Bombyx mori: one gene and its partner. The protein of the gene in region 1 interacts with the protein of each later gene in a biochemical or structural test. Links are inferred from orthologs where the notes say so. Each region holds a gene or a part of one and is shown on either strand. Other genes may lie near its edges. The genes, in order: C-terminal-binding protein and protein hairy.

Evidence for each region.
Region 2: the proteins of C-terminal-binding protein (region 1) and protein hairy form a complex in vitro, tested with the Drosophila melanogaster proteins (2 studies listed by BioGRID). The link is inferred for Bombyx mori from reciprocal best matches to the Drosophila melanogaster genes CtBP and hry.

The regions. Positions count from the first base shown.
Region 1 is NC_085132.1:10,087,692-10,091,524, reverse strand, and holds part of C-terminal-binding protein, read right to left. Parts: intron 3,764-3,833; coding exon 3,664-3,763; intron 2,331-3,663; coding exon 2,200-2,330; intron 692-2,199; coding exon 533-691; intron 1-532. UniProt on the Drosophila melanogaster protein: Corepressor targeting diverse transcription regulators. Hairy-interacting protein required for embryonic segmentation and hairy-mediated transcriptional repression.
Region 2 is NC_085114.1:6,574,354-6,577,912, forward strand, and holds part of protein hairy, read right to left. Parts: intron 1,216-3,559; coding exon 1,120-1,215; intron 670-1,119; coding exon 375-669; intron 1-374. UniProt on the Drosophila melanogaster protein: Pair-rule protein that regulates embryonic segmentation and adult bristle patterning. Transcriptional repressor of genes that require a bHLH protein for their transcription (e.g. ftz).

The DNA of each region.
Region 1 (3,833 bases):
TTACTGCTTCACGGCAGAAATAGATGGGGTGGTGGTACATACCCGCGCGGCCTCACAAGAGATCCTATCACCAGTAAATTATATATAATAACTAGAGGTCGGAGTAGGTAGATTGATTTAGGGTAAGGTAAGGTCTTTGATTTCAAACGTAGAGGATAATATGGATATGCCTCCAAAATACCGGAACTTCATATTTATTGTAATATTTATTCCGAAATTTTGAAATTAGCATGAATATGTGTTTAAGTTGAAAACGTATTAATAATATTAATCTACGCTACCAGTGCTAGCTAATGGTGAAAGAAATCAGTATTTTATTTTATACGCTGTATTTTGTCCCTTTTCCCCCCTTCGTTGCTAACACTGCCCCCTAGCAAGAGCCGTGCTTCGCAGAATCTACCACCGGATCGGAAACGCGACCCACTGAGAAGATCCGGCGAGAAACTCAGAGGGCTGTGTCTGTGGGTTAATTTACGAACGATGACCGGCTCCAGTTGATGAGGAGCTCAATCGACACAAGCGGTGGGCGCACCTTATTGACGCAGTTCCGCAGACAGTCGGGGATGCGGCCGACGATGGCGCGGCGGATCTCCGAGGCGGCCATCTCGCGCAGCTCCTGTGCGGACGCGTCCGAGTAGAAGGCCGCGTGCGGCGTGCACAGCAGGTTCGGAGCGTCTTTCAGCGGACCCTGCTGCAAAAGTACAGAACACGTCAGTGCTGACGCGGTTGACAGGGACAATGTCGGTCGGTGACCGTTCAAATAAGCCTACAACACCAAGAAATTAGTTCAACAGAATATTGAATCATTATAATATAATCATCGACTATAGCTGTATGGGAGCGTAGTTATGTTTTTTTAGGAATGAAAGATAATAGTGGCCCAGAAGTCAGTTTCACCAAAACCAATGGGCGAGCAAAGGCTCACTCAGGCAAGAGGGGTGGGATTTGAGACCTAACAACAACTCAAGAGCAGCTGTTTCGCGGATTAATCTACTACCAGATCGGAATCGCGACCCGCTGAGAAGAAAGCGAGAATCTCAGCAGGTTGATTGATGTATGGGTTAGGTTGCACGTCGAGCTCTTTGCTGGGTTCGACGAGTACGGTTACCGGGATCCCTAAGGAATCTTCCTAGTGCTAGAGCTGAAGGTGTCCGGTGCTGAGGTTAATGGATCTGATGGATTCGTAAGGACATGTCTACAGCACTTATTATCTACATTAGAGGTGGACAAACAAGATAGAAATGTTTCATCTTTACTTTTTTATTGTTTAGATGTATGGACGAGCTAACGATACTTCTGGCGTTAAGTGATCATCGGAGCCCATAGACATCAACAACGTAAATTCCGTCACTCATCTTGAGACGTTCATTTCTAAGTCTCAGTTTTTAGAGTACAACGGCTGTTCCACCCTTCAAACCGAACTGCATTACAACTTCAGGGCAGAAATAGGCGGGGTGGTGGTGGCTACCCGTGCGTGCACTCATTTATAATTCCTAATTTGCACTTAGTGGTTACGATGAAACAATCTACTATTGCATTGACACCCTAAATACTAGAGCTGTTTTTTTTGTTTTTTTTTTTACTGCCCGTTTAGGCAGACGAGCGTACAGCCCACCTGATGGTGAGTGGTTACCGTCGCCCATGGACTTCAGCAATACCAGGGACGGAGTCAAGCCGCCGCCTACCGCTTAATACTCTCCACAAGCCTCGTTTGAAGAAGGACATGTCACAGCGCTCGGGAAACACCGTGGAGGGGAGCTCATTCCAAAGCCGGACGGTACGTGACAGAAAAGACCTCTGGAAACGCACTGTGGATGACCGCAGTGGCTCCAGGTAGTATGGATGAGCTCTACTCTCTGTTTTGTGACTTAAATATTGCTTATTTTGCGAATGATTAATTAATAGAGATTAGAGTTGAAAAAAGGTTGAGAAGTTGCGGGGTATGGTTTTAATTGTAAAACAGTTAAATTATTTTTTTATATTATATATGTGTTTGATATTGGGTAGCCGCTGGGTAGCGGCAATCACGTTAACATCTCTATAAGCAAATAAGTAGACACTTAACCACAAATTAGCCATGAGCTTTGACGTGACAACGTCTAATAAATCGGCTGAACACCGGCTGCACGCACGAAAAAGTGTCACGTTCCTCCTGAGCGAGAGAGAGAGGCACGATCAGCCCATGCGTTGGCTCCGTACCTGGAAGACGTTGAAGGGTTCGTTCTCGTGCACGTCTAGCGCGGCGGCTCGGATGCGGCCCTGCTTGAGCGCGGCGGCGAGCCCCTCGTCGTCCACGAGCCCGCCGCGCGCCGTGTTCACCAGAAACGCACCTGGAACATACGAGAGGAACCGTCACCAGATATAGAAGACACAGTGGAACTTGGATGAAATTGTAAAGACACCAAACTACAATAATGAAGCAGTCATAAACAGCATAAACAGCAGCAGTTTAAGCAGTAATAATTTCGAGTTCACTCAAAATGACGATTATTCTACTTGTACTAAGCCCATAATTGTTGACAAAATATATACTCCCATCTGTTGTAACGGCCTCTATCTACTCTATCTAGTTAGAATTGATAATAAAAAAACCACTAATGACAACACAGCATTGTTGTACATTTTAGCCCCAAATGACGTCACACAGTATGATGTTCCGCGTAGCCAGGCTTTAAACGCTACAGTCTAAACTGGGTTTCAGTCCACGATCGTAAAAAGCAAACGATAACATGCTTTCTGCTACTGATACTTCCATTTTCTTTATAGTGTTGTGAACAAGTAAACAATGCAAGTAATAACATTGTTTTGTAATTACATTACAATAAATACAATTGTTCAGATACACTATTACAGTTTGATTTGATCAGTTTAATAATGATAATAGATTATTTCAGTCTGTTTTGATAATGTTAGATTTTTACTATGTCTTTAGTGTGTACTTTTTGTAGTTTATAAAATATAGCTTTTGCCCGCGACTCCGTCCGCGTGGAATAGTTACTTTGGCATAGCGCTAAATTTTACGCCCCACTCATTTAATTTACGTAAAAATTGAAAATATTTTGAAACATTCTTTATTGGTGCTCCACTTGTATGGGTCTCATGATGTTATATAGCCTATAGCTTTCCTCAATAAATGGGCTATCTAACACTGAAAGAATTTTTAAAATCGGACTAGTATTACCTAAGATTAGTGCGTTCAAACAAACAAACTCTTCAGCTTTATAATATTAGTATATATATCGAGGGGTGAAACGTTATTTAGTTTAAGCGATATTTCGCTTAATACGGGACATTTAATTAAAGTTCCGTTTTATTTGGTATTAGCGTCAACAGTTCGATACTTTTAATTGAACTTTAATTAAGTTTTCTCCATTCAAATAGTTGAAGAAGTTTTGTTATAATATTTTTTCCAAATTTTAAACTTTGAATGGCTCTCCTGTTAACGTTTAAAAAATGTCGCTTAAACCAAACAGCCTTTTACCCTTCATTATTATTTTTGAGAAATTTAAGGCTACGCTGAAGTAGTTTTTTTGTTATATTTTTTCCAAATTTTAAACTTTAAATGGCTCTCCTGTTAACGTTTCAAAAATGTCGTTTAAACCAAATAGCCATTCACCGCTCATTATTTATTATTTATGAGCAATTTAAAGCTAAAAGGCTTACCTGGACGCATCTGTTTGATGGTGAACTCGTTGATGAGGTGGTGATTGTGCTCGTTTAAGCTGCAGTGCAGTGAGACACAGTCACTCTGGAATAATAAGTCCTGTAACGGAAATATTATACATTTTAAAAAACCCATAAATACCTTTTCCGAACTCTCCACTTTGCGTTGT
Region 2 (3,559 bases), on another chromosome or scaffold:
TTAAAGTGAAGGTGTAAAATTTGTAACTATACTTGAGACCTTAGAACTTATATCTCAAGGTGGGTGGCGCATTTACGTCGTAGATGTCTATGGGCCCGAGTAACCACTTAACACCAGGTGGGCTGTAAGCTCGTCTGTCCACCTAGGAAAAAAAAAAAGTAAAATAAAATAAAAGTCAAAACGTCAAAAATGTATGACAGTAAAAATGTGAGATTAAAACCGTAAAATTTGTTTTAATTACGTCTACGACTCGCAAAATCTGAAATTATTATGTACCATTACTGGGTGCATGAAAAGCTTTGAACTTGGATATATTTAACTACTATTTTTTTAAATATTTAAAGTGAAGGTGTATAATTAACAATGACCGTTACCAGCAATGAAAATTGTGGAATGTTGGTTGCCGGGGTCGTCTGTATCCGAAGGCGGTGTGGGTGCACTTGCAGGCCTTGTTCCAGAAGTGCTATTAACGCAGGTTTCCAAATGCCTGACGAGCCTTCTCCGCAATGCAGGCTCCATGCCTTGGAACTTTGCCACCTCTGTGACGCACTGTCTATAGCCGGCCCGGAACTTGTCCGGTGAAACGGCACCCTCTGACCGTAGACCTTCTAGATGCTTCACTGTCATTTCTAATATGTCGGCTTTTTCGAGCTTCGAATGTCTAGCTGGCTGTTGAAAGAAAAATAAACGTCACAAAACAATTCTAGAACATTTTTTTGAAAGGGCATATAAAAAATCACTACATAGTATAAAACAAAGTCGCTTTCTCTGTCCCTATATCCCTATGTATGCTTAAATCTTTAAAACTACGCAACGGATTTTGATGCGGTTTTTTTAATAGATAGAGTGATTGAAGAGGAAGGTTTATGTGTATAATAATATCCATTAAATAGTGGAAAAACCAATAATAAATTAAAGTTTCCGAAGCGAAGCGAGGGTGGGTCGCTAGTAACCTATAAATATGAAGTTATAATAGAAAACACGAATTCGAAATAAATCGTCTTGTAAACATGTAAATTTTCAGTTTTGGGAACATCTACGAAGTCAATTTTACGTACATAATTGAAATTCTACAGATTAGCATCGGGAAAATTATTCGTATATACACATATTACTTACATCTTTTTTCATCGCGTCTAAGATCAGCGCTTTCAACTCGTTGAGACAGTTGTTGATGCGCGCCCGACGTCTCTTCTCCATAATTGGCTTGTTACTCTGTAACAAATGGACATGTTAATTTTTTTAAATTAACCTTCCTGTTTATTATTATAATCAGTGTAGAAGTGTATTTAAAAAAAAAAAAACTAAGTTACACTTTTGATATTTTAAGCCATTCATTTTTTTATTGTCATGATTATTATGATTATTATTATAAATGCTGTTTGCGTTAACAGTATTTAGAAAAAAAAAAACGAAAGAAGAAATTGACGTGTGTGCATAATACAATTATGTTACCGCACTTGGGTAAAAAAATTAACACTTTGCTATTATGTTCAAACACGCCTATTCCAAGTAAGAAGGAATAGGAATAATATTATTATAATATGTTACATGCGAATGTGCTTTGTGTATCAGTAAATTTGCATCCACTTATACACGACACTGATCACGAGATCCTACACGCAATGTACGGCAAAATACTTATACTTTCCGTTACATAATTATTCTACTTTACATCTGTCCTTTTTGTGTATTTCTTTCATATCTATATGTAGATTTGTTTGTGTTTAAGCGTCAGTTGTTCGATTATGTCGAAATTTTCTAAGTGTTTTCGTAACTTTAAGAAAGCAGCAACCCACAATAGTTAGCTGAAGATTTTTCGATTGCGGAGTGCAGCATAATAATACATATTTAGATCTAGTCGAAAGGGGCGATTCTCGTAACAAAAATAATAGTAGAAGCGGCTGTAAAGATAGTAGTAAATAGATGCTTTTTATTGTTCTACTAGCGACCCGCCCTCGCTTCGCTTCGGAAACTGTGATTTATTATTGATTTCTCCACTATTTAATGGATGTTATTATACATATAAACCTTCCTCTTCAATCACACTATCTATTAAAAAAAAACCGCATCAAAATCCGTTGCGTAGTTTTAAAGATTTAAGTATACATAGGGATATAGGGACAGAGAAAGCGATTTTGTTTTATACTGTGTAGTGAAGTAACAAGACGATACCCGACGGCATCGGCAGTGGGTTATAAAATCAGAACCCTACTACCCATTCCTTGACACATGAGATTGAAGTCACAATTGTATTGTGTTATAAGGGCTGTGCCAGCTTTCAAACTGAAACACGCAGTTTCTCGCCGTGCTCACGATATCCCTTTAATCACCACTAAAATCCTTTATTCATCAAACATCATCATTTTACGAGAGCGTGTCTGTCATAATAGTACTAATTTTAATTTTATCAGTAATCTAGATAGGACGTGTTTATAATGTACATACATATGTAACAATAGAATGAAAATTACGAAACAAATTAGTGCTAAATATAGCCTTACTTATCTTGTTAACGAATGCGCAAAAAGAAACCGTGGTAAAAACAGACACGTGACAGACGTGATTAATGTCGTGTAACAATACGAATTTGATGGCGCGTGTGTGTCGCCTCACTTCAAGGTGAAGGTCGCGTTTAGTCGTGAGATCCACGATGCGCGCCTCTTTTGTCGTGACGCGGTCATTACTCACATGACGAGTTAAAATTCTACAATACATTAGATAATGGTTTAGATACTTATGTAGTTTTTTTTTATTGCCCTTGTAGGCAGACGAGCAAACCGCCGCACCCGATGTGTGGCTACCGTCGCCCATGTACATCAGCAATGCCAGAAGTAGAACGAAGCCGCTGCCTACCGTTAAAAGTTACATACTGTATATAAATTTCAACTCGAACGCCTTAAAGTTTTGTTCGTTCAATCTCATTTTATTTTTTTTATGATTGAAGTGTTACAGGATGCCTGGAGGCCTTTCCAGTTTCACCAGGACAGGTGGGCGAGCAAAGGCTCAGCCAGGAGGGGTGGGATTTGCTAACAGCTGCCCGAGCGCCTCCGAAGGAGACCTAACAACTTAAGATTAGCTGCTTCGCGAATGAATCTACTACCGGATCGGAATCGCGAACCGCTGAGAAGATCCGGCGAGAAACTCAGCGAACTGATTTATAGGTTAGGTTGCACGTCGAACTCTTTGTCGAGTTCGACGAGTACGGTTACCGGGGTCCCTAAGCCTGCTCCTAATATTAGAGCTGAAGGCGTCTAATGCAAAGGTTATTGGATCTGATGGATCCGTAAGGACGTGTCTCATTTAAGTATTGTTCGAAGCAGAATAACTTTGAAACATAGCAAATTTATTTCTTAATTAAATATTCTAGTAAATTAAAGCACTCTAACTAGTATCAATGTAAAGCACTTGTATTCAATAAAATATGATTCTTGACGACTATGTTTAAGAGTTTCCTAATTCACATTAATGGTACTTACTGTCTCATGTTTTGTCATTAACTTTCCGAAACATAATAAAAAAGAAATATACTTTCATTTATTTTATAAACATAAGCGCC